Mytilus edulis: one gene and its partner. Each later gene encodes a partner of the first gene's protein in a complex. Links are inferred from orthologs where the notes say so. Each region holds a gene or a part of one and is shown in the gene's direction. Other genes may lie near its edges. The genes, in order: BBSome complex member BBS7-like and ADP-ribosylation factor-like protein 6.

The links.
Region 2: the proteins of BBSome complex member BBS7-like (region 1) and ADP-ribosylation factor-like protein 6 are in contact, whole or in part, in a cryo-EM structure (PDB 6VBV), measured with the Bos taurus proteins. The link is inferred for Mytilus edulis from reciprocal best matches to the Homo sapiens genes BBS7 and ARL6. Residues at the interface, in NP_001178275.2 of Bos taurus: Leu3, Ile249, Val250, Gly251, Asp300, Gly301, Tyr302, Asp303, Thr319, Glu320, Pro321, His323, Lys324, Glu325, Ser326, Gly327, Pro328; in NP_001069250.1 of Bos taurus: Met132, Asp133, Arg135, Thr139, Ser140, Val141, Ser144, Trp157, His158, Ile159, Cys160, Ala161, Asp163, Lys166.

The regions. Positions count from the first base shown.
Region 1 is NC_092345.1:61,644,584-61,653,915, reverse strand, and holds the start of BBSome complex member BBS7-like, read left to right. Parts: upstream 1-5,335; 5' UTR 5,336-5,422; coding exon 5,423-5,461; intron 5,462-9,332. Other genes in the region: protein disulfide-isomerase A5-like, read right to left, coding at 5,054-5,089.
Region 2 is NC_092344.1:97,617,370-97,626,622, reverse strand, and holds ADP-ribosylation factor-like protein 6, read left to right. Parts: upstream 1-6,044; 5' UTR 6,045-6,336; coding exon 6,337-6,915; 3' UTR 6,916-7,446; downstream 7,447-9,253. UniProt on the Homo sapiens protein: Involved in membrane protein trafficking at the base of the ciliary organelle. Mediates recruitment onto plasma membrane of the BBSome complex which would constitute a coat complex required for sorting of specific membrane proteins to the primary cilia.

The DNA.
Region 1 (9,332 bases):
CATGAGTGTATTAGAACTGGCTTGTTGTTTAGACTGCTTCAATATTTATTAGCACATTTTTGTATTGTAATCCTATTTTAATTAAGCTGTAGATCTCATCTAACATGCTCAAAGAACATGAAGACCAACACATGTACACACACACATGGATGTGTGTTCTTCTCCAATTTTAAAATGTAAAAGTATAATACTATCATATAATCATAATCGTGTGTATCAGTGACAAAGTATAATGAACAAAGGGAGATAACTTATATTTAACTTCAATTTCATTTGTCTAGCACAAGTTTTGTTATTAAAAATTTGCCTCTCTATAAATGCTATCTACTAACACGACTGACAAAATGTGTGAACAACCATATTCTTAATTCACTAATAACCTGAAAGCATCTAATCTCAGCTTTACTTTCAAGAAATTGTCTTAGTTTGATCAAAATACATTAAATTAAACCACTTTCTTTTAACAAACATATTTAAGTTTAAACATGTTTAAAGTAATTTCACTACTCAACTTTTCAAATCCAAGTGTTCTGGTTCATAAATTTTATTTACTTACATTGACTTACATGACTTAGGAACTTCATTAATGTATAACATGCTAATGTAGATGTATTTGTTGAAAATTAAGTCACATTTCAACTTTTTTTGTAGTTCTAAGGACACATTAAATATGAACAGTTTGTGGTAGGGGTTAAAAATTGTGATTTGTACTTTCTGTGGCTCATTTAAACAACTATAATTTTATTAAATTGCTTTGTTTCAGATTTCAGCTTCATGTCCACTTGATAACATACAAAACAGTCATGTGACAGTGTCAGCCTTGGGCTCTGAAGTTGTGATACATGTACAGATAATTTTGTATTTAAAAAAACAATAATATCAACTAAAGTTTATCTTAAACAGTCAGGGGACTTACTGAAATAAGTGATTTTTAAATCACTTATTTGAGTAGCAAATTCAAGGTTTTGTCACAAATTGGGATTTTGTAGTTTTTTCAAAATTTTAAACACATAGGATTAAATAACATCTTTTAATTAGTAAAATTAAAAAATATGAACTTTTTGCTTCTTTTAAGTAGCAAGGTTTATGCCTTTGATGCTATCATTTACCTGAAAATTCTATTTTAGTTGAAAAAATGCTATAATAATGGCTTTACATAATGAACTGATACTTTCTTCAAAGATTTTTCACAGCAGTGGGAGTATTTTTCCTGTGAAGTTCAAGGTTTCATCTTTCAGATTATGTAATAAAATTCTACTGTTCGCGATAAAAATTTCACTGTTCGGGGGTGTTGAAATTAGTGGGGGTTATTAAAAGAATGATACTTAAAGAAGTGATTTTGGGAAGGAAATTGAGGTCTGACACTTAAACAAGTGATTTTTATGTCATTATCCTAGATTCAGTACAAGGTCATCACCTGAAATGACCTGGTCATCCTAGACAACACAGATGTTGGTTCTGATAAGTTTAGAAACATAATTAGTCCCTGGATCATTAGTATTCTATATTTAAAGCTACACTAATATTAAATCACTTCTTCTAGTGATTAATTTGTACTACTTAAATAGGTGATTATTAAAGAAAGACAACTCTAACTTCAAACCTTTATGGAAATAATGTTACTTGAATCAGTGATTTAGAAAATCACTTGTTTAAGTAAGTCCCCTGACTGATAATATACTTGTAAAATCAATTAACATTTAAAAAAATATAAATGACTATGAGATAAATTATAAAAACCAAAACTTTATTTAGACATGTTATGACTTTTACATTTGACCTAGTGACCTCATCTCTTATGTGGTCTTCTTTATCTCAGAAGGCATTGTTCATAATGTTTGGGAAATATAAAGTTTTTCATTTAAAAGATTAGAATTTTGTACAGTATTGTTTCAATATACATGTATATTTCAGATTTCCTACTTACATTCATGACTCAAGAAAATTAAGGTCTACATATTAATTCCTTTTCATCTATCTCAATATTTTTATACCTTTGAAACATGGAGAGACCTTTAATTTTTGTTGAGATTTACTGCCAATAACAGAAGCAATAAAAACTTAAGGGTAGGCAATTTGAGGCATTACCATGGTAACAAAAGGATAGGTAGGGAAACCTTGATACATCATGTACAAGTATTGTGTTTTCTTTTTTGGCCTGAAATCAACTTATAATATTACAGTCAGGGGTACTACTTGAGGAAGTAAAAATAAATATACACTTATAAGTTAATTTGTAGGATACTTGTACAAGTGAATTTTATTTACTTGCACATGTTGTGTAGGTAACAAAAAAATTGGCTTAGTTATGTCCCTTACACATTCAGATTTTTTTACTTGTATAAGTAAAAAAGTCATCCTATCTTCTTTTCTTGAATTCTTAGGATTTCTTTGCTCTTATAGAATCTTAATTTGTCTGCCCTTTGCAGATGTCTTTACTAATCATTTCAGTGTAATTTCATGGGAAATGAAAATCCTGTTTGTCTGTTATCTTCAGAACACTGCTCATTTACAAGCCCCAAGGAGCAATTTTTGAAGGCCTTGCACAAATACTTAAGATCTTTGCACAATCAGTTTCTTTGTTGAAATAATGAGATGAAACATTGAACTCTTATCAAAAATTATGAGCTAACCTGGGAAAAATCATTAAAGACATGATTTTACATCTCTAAACTTGAGAATTGTTGCGAGATTGTAAGAAAAATTACAAGTGATTTTTTGAGAAAATTAAGGGGAGATTATTCAAACATTATATGTTATAACTAACTTATATGTGTATATTTTAAAATAATACTTGTACAAGTACTACCCATGAGTGTATTAGAACTGGCTTGTTGTTTAGACTGCTTCAATATTTATTAGCACATTTTTGTATTGTAATCCTATTTTAATTAAGCTGTAGATCTCATCTAACATGCTCAAAGAACATGAAGACCAACACATGTACACACACACATGGATGTGTGTTCTTCTCCAATTTTAAAATGTAAAAGTATAATACTATCATATAATCATAATCGTGTGTATCAGTGACAAAGTATAATGAACAAAGGGAGATAACTTATATTTAACTTCAATTTCATTTGTCTAGCACAAGTTTTGTTATTAAAAATTTGCCTCTCTATAAATGCTATCTACTAACACGACTGACAAAATGTGTGAACAACCATATTCTTAATTCACTAATAACCTGAAAGCATCTAATCTCAGCTTTACTTTCAAGAAATTGTCTTAGTTTGATCAAAATACATTAAATTAAACCACTTTCTTTTAACAAACATATTTAAGTTTAAACATGTTTAAAGTAATTTCACTACTCAACTTTTCAAATCCAAGTGTTCTGGTTCATAAATTTTATTTACTTACATTGACTTACATGACTTAGGAACTTCATTAATGTATAACATGCTAATGTAGATGTATTTGTTGAAAATTAAGTCACATTTCAACTTTTTTTGTAGTTCTAAGGACACATTAAATATGAACAGTTTGTGGTAGGGGTTAAAAATTGTGATTTGTACTTTCTGTGGCTCATTTAAACAACTATAATTTTATTAAATTGCTTTGTTTCAGATTTCAGCTTCATGTCCACTTGATAACATACAAAACAGTCATGTGACAGTGTCAGCCTTGGGCTCTGAAGTTGTGATACATGTACAGATAATTTTGTATTTAAAAAAACAATAATATCAACTAAAGTTTATCTTAAACAGTCAGGGGACTTACTGAAATAAGTGATTTTTAAATCACTTATTTGAGTAGCAAATTCAAGGTTTTGTCACAAATTGGGATTTTGTAGTTTTTTCAAAATTTTAAACACATAGGATTAAATAACATCTTTTAATTAGTAAAATTAAAAAATATGAACTTTTTGCTTCTTTTAAGTAGCAAGGTTTATGCCTTTGATGCTATCATTTACCTGAAAATTCTATTTTAGTTGAAAAAATGCTACAATAATGGCTTTACATAATGAACTGATACTTTCTTCAAAGATTTTTCACAGCAGTGGGAGTATTTTTCCTGTGAAGTTCAAGGTTTCATCTTTCAGATTATGTAATAAAATTCTACTGTTCGCGATAAAAATTTCACTGTTCGGGGGTGTTGAAATTAGTGGGGGTTATTAAAAGAATGATACTTAAAGAAGTGATTTTGGGAAGGAAATTGAGGTCTGACACTTAAACAAGTGATTTTTATGTCATTATCCTAGATTCAGTACAAGGTCATCACCTGAAATGACCTGGTCATCCTAGACAACACAGATGTTGGTTCTGATAAGTTTAGAAACATAATTAGTCCCTGGATCATTAGTATTCTATATTTAAAGCTACACTAATATTAAATCACTTCTTCTAGTGATTAATTTGTACTACTTAAATAGGTGATTATTAAAGAAAGACAACTCTAACTTCAAACCTTTATGGAAATAATGTTACTTGAATCAGTGATTTAGAAAATCACTTGTTTAAGTAAGTCCCCTGACTGTTAAATAAATCAAAATACAATGTTCTGATTCCAAAGTTATTTGAACTTTGAAATTCCTAAACTGACAGCAGTTTTACAAACCAATGAGTACAAAAAAGACTTGTTTGGACTTTGTTTTAATTATGAACATGATGAATCAAATGTCCCTATCATGCTGTTGACCTAGGATAACTTTTGGGTCAAAACACACCTTGTATAAGCTGAACCTTGCTTTTTAATGCAGATTTTTCTGTGAAATTCCCTTATTTGAAAATATGTATTGTATACAATTTGCTTCAGAAAGTAAATGTATGCGTATCAGATGACTCAGTATCTGATCATTGATGGTCAATAGAGAAAACAATGCCAGCATTCTTTTACATTCATTTTGTTGACATGCTTGACTATATACACGTATATCATGTTTATCATAACTAAGAACATGTGTACATCTATGACTGTGTAATGATGTATAGAGCATGACAGTCAGTGGATATATTTTTGTTCAATCAACAATGCATTTTGAATTTATAATGGTGCAAAAGTTTTGCGGGTACCTGAAAATTAATGTAAAGTATCAAAAAATCATTACCATTAAGATTAAAAGCAATAAATATATCCTTGCCATCCTTATAATGCCACGTATTGGTATGTAGCCGGTAGCCTTATCATTTGGGTAGAGCTCTTCACAGTTAAGGTAAAAATCTCCTTTTTCCCGAACTTTTTAAACATTCCATTTGACATGACTGAGATTCCAAATACAACTATTATGTTGTCTTAATGAATTATGGTTAAATGAAAAATATCTTCCACGAATCAAATTAATGTTTAAAAACAACGACCATGAATTATTCAAAAGAGAGAGAAAAAATTTAACTATATACGTGATGCATAACTTAGCAATACCGGAAGTTCTATACTTGGCAACATTCAACATTCCAAAATACAAAATACGTTCAAGATGATGGAATTAAACTTATCACGAGTTGATTACCTCCAGGTTGAATTTCATTTATCTACATGATAACATGTCAATCTTTTGTTCAAGTTCAAATTAGAATTAATGCATACTTAAAGGCTGCACTCAAACTCAAAGATGCAGATTGTTTTTCCTGCTTGACCAACATACCAAGCTTTAACTGTTTAAGATAGGCTACAGTTTACTCTTTATATTCCACCAACTATATTAGATGAACAATTTTTTTTGAAAGTGTAGCTTCCCTAACTTTAATATGAGGGAGGTGTTATACCCAACTGCGGCCAAGCTTCGCGATAGGTCGTGCGACATAATGGTATCCGGTCGTTCCGGCCCCAAACCGATCCGGCCCCAAGTCAATCCGGCCCTAAGTCGATCCGGCCCAAGTCGATCCGGCCCACGTCGATCCGTCCCCAAGTCGATCCGGCCCCATAATAAAATATGAATTAACTAGATTTTGGAGGAATTTGTCACAAACTTTAACAGTATAAATGGAATTTGAAAAAAGTCTCCGATTGATGATGGGTGACAACAGGTCAGTGAAGTATTGGAGTACCAGTTAACGAACTATTTTAAATCCATACGGAAATTAGTGTTATTGTGTCTGTTTGTATCGCAGTTTTATTCATTTTTAAATTATGAAGTTATTTTCCATGATAACTTTTACTTTGAATTTCATGGCGATTTTTATTTTATTCAGTTCACACACAGAATAGCTAAATAAATATTTACAGTCCAGTGGACCTATAAAATTTAACGCATAATAATGACTTATTTAATCAAATCATTAGTCTATAATTGGTTTGTTTATTCAACAGTTGTCTGATGATTGTGAACTAAGGTAATGCGACTCGTAATGATAAATCACTTAATTCAATCCAATGCTGATTAATTAAAGTTACGTAATCCGTTTTTCAACAAGGTCTTTATAGTTTGATCTTCTGGTTGGTGTATATTAAAATAATTATTTGTATTTTTTTTCCAGGTTACATCATAGGCTTCTATACCATATAAAAATATTTTTTTGTAACATCGGATATAGTCAATATATTTTTCTTATTTTGACAATATTTTGAATAGTGTGTAGATAAAAAAAAAAGAAGTCATATGAGTATCCATTATTCTTTATTGCAAGAAAACAACAAAACAATGACATTGAATGCACGTTTTCACTCTCTAAAATATAATATCAGCACCCTTTTATCATGTTCATAGAAAGGATTCGGCAAATCAAACAACATTTCTCAATTTTAGAAATGTCAAGAACCTAAAAAGAAAAAAAAAAGTTAATATTTATCAGCTTGGGGATCGGCTTGTACCGTTCATGTATGTAACTATTTGTTATTATATGTTACACAAGATGAAAGACTTGTTAGGATCACAGTCAATTGAAAGAAAATGCTAATTACATTACTGCTGATTAATGTTGATGTCTGAATTTTTTTATATACGTTTTAATATAATTATACCCAATAATCTTAAAAACTTGTAATAAAGACATAATCAACCTAGTTGTTTTATACTCATCTAAAGAAAATATTTTTCAAAGGCCTTTTTTACTTTTTTTTACCGTACACCTTTAACATTATAATAAAAATAATAAACATTTATGAATTACAATTAATATATATTTATTTTTATTCCTTAGAAATATTTTTTTTTATTGGGGCCGGATCGACTTTACATTTGGGCCGGATCGACGTGGGGCCGGATCGACGTGGGACGGATCGACTTGGGCCGGATCGACGTGGGGCCGGATCGACCCGAAAGCCGACATAATCAGACAAACAAACTTTATTAGATTAACTCTCTAAGGAACGATCGTTTTCATTGGTCAATTCAAACCTTCGACCTCACACCTGCAAAAATAGAACACGCGTACTTTAACGTTGAATGGACTGATTAATATTCACGTAGCTGGTCAAGGTCGTCTAAAGCTTCTATCGTCGTATTCGCATGCATGATTCTAATCACAATTCTAGCTTAATGTGCATGTGAAATTCATTTGTGTTATAATTTTCTGCAATTAATTGGTAGTAAAGTTTAAACTTTAAAATCTTAACAGTTAAAATATTCAATTTAAATATCTCCTCTAAATCAAGGGACGACATCAAAAGTTTAATGTAGGATAAAAAAAAAACCTCAATTCACATATTTTTTTTCATTGACACACCCAAGTTGCTTATCCTGCCTTCTCTTTTACTCAATGGACTCGATGAATTAACGTTGTACTTGAAAAATGAAACTGTATACTTTACTACAAACACTTTTCATATTGTTTGCCAAGTTTTAGATATTCTTCATAGAATAGTGATTTTTTTTCTGATTCCATTATAACTTGAAGGAAAAAAATAAATTCCAAAATTGTAAGTAAATTCATAACATGTAACACGCTTTGTTAAGAAAAAAATGGAGATGGCCAATCATGGCACAGCGGATAATTAAATGAAGTTTATACAAACGATATAATTCATGAGGTTTTGCTATTCTCGGTTGAAAAAACGAACGTAAATTATATATTGTAAATATTAAACCGTTGGTTTTCCCAAGTTGAATGGTTTTACACTAGTAATTTTGGGGCCCTTTATAGCTTGTTGTTCAGTGTGAGCCAAGGCTCTGTATTGAAGGCCTTACATTGACCTATAATGGTTTACTTTTATAAATTGTTATTTGGATGGAGAGTTGTCTTATTGGCACTCACACCACATCTTCCTATATCTATGTAAATACAAACAAACAATGTCTGTATTCATTAAATCATTTAAATGTATTTATAAAAAGGTGAGTTTCATCTTGTACATACATTTAGTCATCCTTAATTTCTTGATATTTTTTATCAGTTTATCATACACGTTTCGTTTTGTATTTTATTTCAAATACGAATACATACTACATATACTTTAGCGGATTGTTCAACAATGTTATGCAACTCTATTGTTACAGTATAAATTTAAAAAATTAATATTCACACATTCATAATCGAAAACAGTACATTTATATGTAATAAAGAAGATGTGGTATGATTGCCAATGCCACAACTCTCCACAAGAGACCACAATGACACAGAAATTAACAACTAAAGGCCATGGTACGGCTTTCAAAAATGAGCAAAGCCCATACCGCATAGTCAGCTATAAAAGGCCCAGAAATGACAATGTAAAAACAATTTAAACGGGAGTTGTTCCTTATAAACTACGACATTCCTCACAAGTATTAATATTTATTTAGTTCCAAACATTCGAAAGAAATAATCTTCACTGAATTCATTCAGGTGCACAATTGATACGATTAGTTATTTTGTTTCTATCTTTGGGGAACAACTTCCTCCTTTTATGGTAGCTACTGTATGTATGTTTTAGCATGACAATAATAAAGGAGGAATGTCAGTGCAACCCATCATTAATTATTGTAAAGCAGGATCAGTATTATGAAATACTTTATAAGTGACTACGACATTGTAAGGATTATAACCTATCGTAGGTATGAAAGAAATTAAAAGTGGTTCATTTATTCATCCGTATAAAAGCGGCACATGTATTTTATTTTATCCTTATATTTCTCTGACATCATGCCGGGTACAAGATAATTGAGTTGCTGCATGCATAAAGAACTTAGAATATCAGTATACTTTTTTGACCTCACTATTTGAAGTTAGCAAAACATTTATTTAAATCTTTTGGCCAAAGGTTTGTAAACTATACAAATCATTGTTTTTACGTTCGTAGTAACATAGTAAATTCCATTGTCGGTCACCTGTGTCAATTCACGTGCACACTGACTAGACTGACTACATTGCTGTTGTATTTAAATCTTTCCGCCAATGAAATGAGACGTTACAAGTTGTTTGTTTATGATACGCCAGAATGTTATCAATGAACTATCAAATGCTAAACTT
Region 2 (9,253 bases), on another chromosome or scaffold:
GGATGCCCCACTCGCACTATCATTTTCTATGTTTAGTGGACCGTGAAATTGGAATAAATTCTCTAATTTGGAATTAAAATTAGAATGATCTTATCAAAAGGAACATGTATACTAAGTTTCAAGTTGATTTGACTTCTACTTTATCAAAAACTACCTTGACCAAAAACTTTAACCTGAAATTTGCACTATCATTTTCTATGTTCAGTGAACCGTAAAATTGGGGTCAAAACTATAATTTGGCATTTACATTAGAAAGATCATATCATAGGGCACATGTATACTAAGTTTCAATTTGATTGGACTTCAACTTCATCAAAAACTACCTTGACCAAAAACTTTAACCTGAAGCGGGACAGACAGGCGAACGGACAAACGAACGAACGAACAGACGGACGGACGAACAGACGCACAGACCAGAAAACATAATGCCCCTCTACTATCGTAGGTGGGGCATAAAAATGAAGAATCTACATACACAGTTAGATTTGGTATATCAAAGAACCCCATTTATTCAATTTTTGATGAAATCAAACAAAGTTTAATTTTGGACCCCGATTTGGACCAACTTGAAAACTGGGCCAATAATCAAGAATCTAAGTACATTTTTAGATTCAGCATATCAAAGAACCTAACTGATTCATTTTTTGTCAAAATCAAAGTTAGTTTAATTTTGGACCCTTTGGACCTTAATGTAGACCAATTTGAAAACGGGACCAAAAGTTAAGAATCTTCATACACAGTCATGACAGTTAGATTCGACATATCAAAGAACCCCAATTATTCAATTGTGATGAAATCAAACAAAGTTTAATTTTGGACCCTTTGTGCCCCTTATTCTGTTGGGATCAAAACTTTCAAAATCAATACCAACCTTCCTTTTATGGTCATAAACCTTGTGTTTAAATTTCATAGATTTCTATTTACTTATACTAACGTTATGGTGCGAAAACCAAGAAAAATGCTTATTTGGGTCCCTTTTTGGCCCCTAATTCCTAAACTGTTGGGACCAAAACTCCCAAAATCAATACCAACCTTACTTTTGTAGTCATTAACATTGTGTTTAAATTTCATAGATTTCTATTCACCTAAACTAAAGTTATTGTGCGAAAACCAAGAATAATGCTTATTTGGGCCCTTTTTTGGCCCCTAATTCCTAAACTGTTGAAACCAAAACTCCCAAAATCAATCCCAACCGTTCTTTTGTGGTCATAAACCTTGTGTCAAAATTTCATAGATTTCTATTAACTTAAACTAAAGTTATAGTGCGAAAACCAAGAAAATGCTTATTTGGGCCCTTTTTGGCCCCTAATTCCTAAAATGTTGGGACCAAAACTCCCAAAATCAATACCAACCTTCCTTTTGTGGTCATAAACCTTGTGTTAAAATTTCATAGATTTCCATTCACTTTTACTAAAGTTAGAGTGCGAAAACTAAAAGTATTCGGAAAACGACGACGCAGACGACGACGCCAATGTGATAGCAATATACGACGAAACATTTTTCAAATTTTGCGGTCATATAAAAATTATAACAGCAATCACAAAATATATTTGACATTTTTTTTAGTTCAATGCCACTTGTGATAATTCTACATTTTATTATTTAGACTGAGAATGACCAGTATTCCAATTAATATGACATTTACTTAAGTCTCCAAAAAAAGTAAGAAAAACAATAAAACAGAAAATCAGTCCACTTATCAACTCAAAATCTTCAATTTTTTTTCTTACTGTTTCATACAAATTCATTTAACTTAAAAAAAACAACAACATTTGATCTGACACTTGCATCATATTATGTTATAGGGGTTAAGGTACAAAAAATAGATTAAAATCTAGAATGTGTCCTCAGTACACAAATGCCCCACTCGCACTATCATTTTCTATGTTCAGTGGACCGTAAAATTCGGATAAGATCTCTAATTTGGCATTAAAATTAGAAAGATCATATCATAGGGAACATACGTACCAAGTTTGAAGTCAATTGGACTTCAACTTCATCAAAAACTACCTTGACCAAAAACTTTAACCTGAAGTGGCACAGATGGACGAACAGACGGACGGACGGACGAACGGACGGACGGACGCACAGACCAGAAAACATAATGCCCCTCTATTATCGTAGGTGGGGCATAAAAATAAGAAATGCACCAACAGATTGTGCATCCAAATTGAAACAGACCAATTAAATATTCAAAGTGCTGATTATTATACAGTCTATGATCATGATGATTCTTTTTTCACAATACTGTGCTTTTTTATGTATATTTGTTATGTGCTATTTGTTTTGACTATATGTGTTGAGAATACTGTGGGAGTTACAACGTCACATTGTACTGATTTAATTTACATGTACATGTAGGGTCGATGTCAGTCCGTTCGTGTCCAATCAAGTTTGCCCCCTTTCAATTTCGCACCCAAAGTCTGTTCGCACCCTACACTTTCGTGCCCAATTGTTATTGGTTTTGTGTTTAATAATTTGTAAACAAGTTTTTGGAAATGTATTGCTATGCATATATATTTTTTTATTGTTTCTAAATAAAGTGAGATTCTGACAAGTTATTTTTTTTGTGTCATGGTATTAAAGTGTATTTCTATAAATATTTCTTTTCATTGTTTCAAAAGGAATTAGGATTCTGACAAACACACATTTTTTCATCTTCATGAGATAAAAGGAGCCAAGCTGTAAAAAATGAAATCTGTAAAATAATTCCTCAAATCTTATTCAAGACATATACAATATTAGGTCAACATGGTCAATGTCAGGAAAATATAACTTTTTTGTATGAGGCTTAGAAAGTTTTGCATAGAGTACAATTTAAAAAAAAATTTAGAACATTGACCTAATATTGTTTTTATACGGCAACTAAATGAACTTAAATTAATACAGATAGCTTTTTAAATCGTAACAGAAATGTCAAACTTATTTTCATCTCTTAATGGACCCCTGATTGTGGAGACAGTGTTTCATGATGAAATAGACATTATACAAAATATAGCTATGTTACTATATTTAGGAAATAAACCCAGGTAGTTGCAGTATACAATAAAAATATTTGGTATATACATATAAAAGAAATATCTAAAAAATTCAACTGAAATTCCAATAAAAATTGGGTGTGAACGTGCAGGGTGTGAACGGACTTCGGGGGCAAACATGTGAGGTGCGAAGGTGTGGGGTGCAAAAGTGTATTGGGTGTGAACAGACCTGATACTGTCAGTGCCGAAGTACATGACATGATGTACATGCATGTAGTCTTAGCAAAATTCAGAATATATATATATGAAGTAAAAATTAAATAGTATAGTTGTTTTCTTTCTATGATACGATAGTTGATTTGTGGTGCCATAACCAAAGGATAACATTGAAGAACGAGAAATTAAAGAATATTAAAAATTGGAGTGCAGTGACAAGACTTTTCCAAAATTTTGAGTAAGGCGAGGGAAAACACGGACTTCAACAGAACAAACAAACAACAGATATTTTATTTGTCAATCACGACGCCCAAAATGAGCAGAATAATTACAATATAATTTTCAAACATAATGTAAAGTAAATTAAAAATAGGTTAAACAAAGTACATAATATGATTGATTTTGATTTGATTGATTGATATAAAATATTAAAGCAAATGAAGTAGGCAAATCAGTCTGCACCAAAAAACTTTTTCAACTACTAGTCCGAAGACCAATATTCTGACACTTTTCTTATTGGGCCAAACAAAGTTTTGCAAAAACTTACTAGTCCGAATAAAATTTTACTAGTCTGGGGCATCAGACTAGTGGCTAACCGTGCAGACTGGGCAATTTGTAATAATAAAAATATATATAATATAATATGACCAATTGTCTGTTACTCTGGTCCCTTTATTGGACAGTACACCTCATAGTATGCTAATAATTTATTAAATGTAAAAGAAATAACTAATGTAAATGCATATTTGATCATACATATCATTCTATATCTTTATATAGAGAAATCTAATTTAAAGTTGTATTTCTGTTTATATTTAAAACCTCTAATGATTGACAAATTATTATCAAAATGTTTTTATCTTCATTTCCCATTAGCCAAATAAAAAGAGATTTGTTATCAAGTTTTGAAATATTTTTATTTTTACTATATATTTTGCTTAGAAAGGGATTTCTAACATTATCCAAAGTTTTACATGTTAAAAGAAAATGCATCTCATCTTCTATTTCCTCATTACAGAGTTTGCATATTCTATTTTCTAGTTTAATATTAAAGTAACGACCTTTTTCTATTTCAAGTTTGTGAGCTCCAATTCTAAATCTTGTAAAAACACATTTTTGAATATATATGGTAATTTCAATAAGTAAGGCTCAAAATTAAAATTTGGTTTAAATAATCGATAAGTTCTAAGTTTATTTCCAGAGGTCTTATTTTGTCTTTTATCATTAAATAATTTTTTCTTCCATATGCTGCAATACTTTAAATATAATTTCTCTTTCACCATATTTCTAATGTTTATTTTAGATGAGAGCACCTGATACTCTTTTAAATCAAGTAATTTTAAGATTTAATCATGTTTGTCAACAGAGATAACTGCTTGCAACATATGATATGGGGACAAAGTCCCCAATTACGGTAGAAAATTCAAACAAAAAAAAAATCCAAAAAAAAATCGGGAAAATTTCACGAATTTTTCATTGTACTAATGAGCTCAAAATCGTTAACTTTTTTTTCAGATCTACTTCCTGTTCCGGTCTTGTTGGCTGAGACTTTGAATGAAATGTATATTTATCAACATATCAATAAATATAGGAAGGAATTCAACACCCAATCATTTTTAATAATTGTTTGAGATGGGGACGAAGTCCCCAATTACGTTAGAAAAATCAATAAAAAATAAAAAATTCGGGAAAATTCCCCGATTTTTTATTCTTCTAATGAACTCAAAATCGTTAACTTTTTTTTTAGATCTACTTCCTTTTCCCAGTCTGCATCTGCGCACAAACGTTTTCCGGCCGGTCTTGTTTGCATGAGACTTTGAATAAAATGTATATTTATCAACATATCAACAAACATAGGAAGGAATTCAACACCCAGGATGAAATTTGAAAAAAATAGGCAGGACAGAAGTTTTGAGTAAAAAAAAAAGGCAGGATGAGACACTTGCAAAAAAAAAGAAGTCAGGATGACAATTTATGTAAAAAAAGTCAGGATAAACTAAAAAAAAAAAAGCAGGACCGAATAGAGTGAAAAATAAAAAGGCAGGACAGAGATTACAACTAAAAAAAAATGCAGGACAAAATTTTTCATCCTAGCCCCCCCATAAAAATCAAATGGTAGCTCCCTTACAGGTATTGCCTGCCTCATATTATAAAAAAAAACGTAACCTGATAACAGCGTTTCTTTGTATACATTGAATATGAAGTCATTACTTAAATAACGTCACAAGGAAATCCCTAACAACGAACCAATATCGGAAACGTTACGGTATTTCCGTTTATCAACATGTTTAAATAAAAAAGAAAATAATTCAGACTTCGTCCCCATTCACAGGTAATGACTGCCTCATATTAATGTAACACAGCAGAAGAATATATTGTGATGTGTGATTTTCAAAAAATAATAAACCTTTGTAAATTATTGGTCATGTCAGGGACATATATAGTCCAAATAATTATGACGTGATGTAAGGCGTCAAAGAAAAAAAATATAATAGCCTTTCAAGATGTCATAATTATTTGGACTAGGACATATATATAATTTAGGTATACTGTTCCCAGGTCATTTTTCAAATATAGTATTATCAATATCATGTTATACCTTACAGGTCAGTTGTAAAATAATATATGCATTGTTTCATAACTGCGTTCAAAATGGTTGCATAGCATTTAAATCGCCTGTTAGGCCTATTTCATTCTTTTCCATTAAATGCAGATGAAAATGCTAAAATTTAAATCATAAAAATAGTGAAAAATATTGCTTCCGGTTCTAATCAGGGTCAATTATTATTTTGAACTTCATGGATAAATAGATGCGAGAAAACGTTCTTTCAAACGTTCGAAAGATTTAGAAAAATCACCGTTGCTTGACGGGAAATAGTTGTTTACAGTGGTAACAGGAAGCGGCTACACGTTTTAGCAGTTTTACCTGAATTTCACACCTTGATCAAGTATTTGTATCCATTTATATGAACTAATTAATTGTCAAAGAAGCAAGAACCTTCAGATATGAGCTGATTCGCTTTAAAATGGAAAAATAACACTGACAAAAATCAAAATCTTGCAAAGAACTGGTTGAAACTCGTACACACGGACTCTACACATAATAGTTATTACAAATTGTATTAGTACTATAAACTTAAAGATGGGATTTTTTGACAAACTCGCAAAATGGCTTGGTTTGAAAAAGAAAGATGCAAATGTTATTGTTGTTGGACTTGATAACAGTGGTAAAACAACAATCATTAATCATCTTAAACCGAAGGAAACAAAATCTCACGACATTGTGCCAACCATCGGTTTCACAGTTGAAAAATTTACAAGTAGTGCCTTGTCAATTACAGCATTCGATATGTCAGGCCAAGGCAGATACAGAAATCTATGGGAGCATTACTACACAGAATGTCAAGGCATTATATTTGTGATAGACAGTAGCGACAAGCTTAGAATGGTTGTTGCAAAAGAAGAATTGGATCAACTTCTAAATCACCCCAAAATTACTAATAGAAGAATTCCCGTTCTTTTCTTTGCCAATAAGATGGATGTACGTGAAGCAATTTCCAGTGTTAAAGTTTCTAGTTTGCTTCAGTTAGAACAAATAGAAAACATGAAAAACAAACCATGGCATATATGTGCAAGTAATGCTTTAACAGGGGAAGGTCTTATGGAAGGCGTAGAATGGATAAGTGACCAACTTCGGGATATTATAGATGGAGGCAAATGATTAACACTTATTGATAGGAACGATAGCTGTTATTTTAGTAATTTGAGATATGTACATTTGGTACATATTCAAAGTTAAAGAAATCATAAACAAATGTACAGTTTAACTTGGTGTTACAAAAAAATGTATATACAATGATATATATTTTACTGAATTCTTGACTTTTGTATTCTTTCATTTTCTTTTATGATGGACGAAAATGACAAATAATAATTGAAGAAAGTATTACACTGTTACAGCGAAAATTCAATTCAGTGTAAAAGTTATGTTTTCTTGAAATTATATAATTAATATTCATCTTGTTATTACATGTATGTTCATTAGTACAGGCTGCTTCACACCTTTTTAAAATTGTAAATGTGTCAGTACATTTTATTTGATAAAAAAATAACACTAACACTGACTTATGTATACGTGTTTTTCTTATAAATGTTCAATTTTATATACATGTACTGTACATGTAGTGTAATTAATAAATTTACATTGAAATGATACAAAAAAATATCAAGAATTGTTCTAATTCAAACTTAAGACTTTGTTTTCAATTTTATAATTTAGTAGGTTTTACCCTTGTCAATCGCAATCTGTACGTCCAAAAATTGGTTTCCTTTCTCTAACTTTAGTTTGCCTCAACCAAATGTCTTAAAACTTATGCACAATGATTATTACCCCAAAAAACAGATCAGGTTTAAATTTTGGTTGCATCAATTTTACCATTCTAGAGTTACATGTATGTCCCTCTGCAAATGAAAAAAAATACTGAATTTTTCATAATGACATTTCCATACCTTTTCTTTAGTTTGCCTTAACCAAATGTTATGGAACTTATGCACAATGCTAAATTACCACAAAACAAAGATCAAGGTTGAATTTTGGTAGCGATTAACTGTTCTAGAGTAACTGTACATGTATGCCACTTTACAAATGGAAAAATTGTTGGATTTTTCGTTTCAGTCTGTAACTTTAGTTTGCCTAAACTAAATATGTGAAATGTATACACAATGCTAATTACCTCAAAACTCAGATCAAGTACAAATTTGGGTAGTGTCACTTTTACAATTCTTGAGTTACTGTATGTCTCTTTATAACATTATATGTTATAGGGGGCATCAGCTGTTTCCCAGTCCCCTACCGACTTTAGGTTTGCACTCTGTCCGTCTGTCCATTTGTCAGTCCGGCAAATCAGTTTTCCAGACTTTTTTCTTCATGCTTGAAGATATTGATTTGTTATTTGGTGTATTGTTTTATCATGACAAGTTACAGGTCAAGTTTGACTTTCATGATTTTAGCTCTTCTCCTTGTTCAGTTAGAGCCCTTTCCCTAGTTGTGCATTGTTTAAGCTGGAAAATAGTTTGTTCTATAAAGCAGGAGTTGTTTCCCATTGCCCAAAATTCTAACATTGGAAGCAAAGTTGGTAATTTGAAAAAAAGAGTTTTGAATTAGATGTTTCATCAAACCTTGATGGTTAATAAGCTTTCATTAACATGGACTCATCAATTAGCCACAGAGACTTATGAAAACTGATGTTAATTGACACAAATTAGTCTAATATCATGAACATCAGGTTCATATGATTTGAAGAATTATGGGAAACATTTCAACAGAAAAGATCCTTTAGAAACACGTTAAAAAAAATATGGGTTTGAGGTATAATGTAAATACATCAAAATATAAAGAAGATGTGGTATGAGTGCCTATGTGACAACTCTCCTTCTGAGTCACACTGTGTACAAAGTAAACAATTAATGGTCAAAGTACAGCCTTCAACACTAAACCTTTGAAATGTTATACAAGTACAATGTATATCATAGGCGGATCCTTTTGCAAAAAATGTAGATCTAGATGGCCATGAACTTGAAGAAAACTTTGTCCCCCACCTTGACCTACTTTCGAAATCCATGATCATTTATAGTTGTCCACATAACAAAGTTAAACCAGGAAATTTATGATATTACGAGTCTGCATACACCTGGATATTCACAGTAAATGCTCAGACATTGATGGACATACAGATTTATAATATTAAAGCAGGCAAATGATTTGAAAAGGCTGATCTGTTGCTGTATGATGAAGGTCAAATGGTCATATTTCATGGTTCAGTGGTTTCGAGTTTTAAATTTATTCAAAAGGATTCTGAAACACATTTTTTTCTTATTTAAATCTAGTTTCTTAAGTTTAACATTCAATTTCAGTTCTCCTGTAGCAAGTGACCTATAATCATAAAGTGTCTTTATTACGTCAAATCCAGTAGTTGTGTTTGGTTTATTAATTTCTGGGTCAAAATTTGTATGACCTTAAAAAAAGGTCATATCTAAGACTAAATTGTGTGATCTTCAAT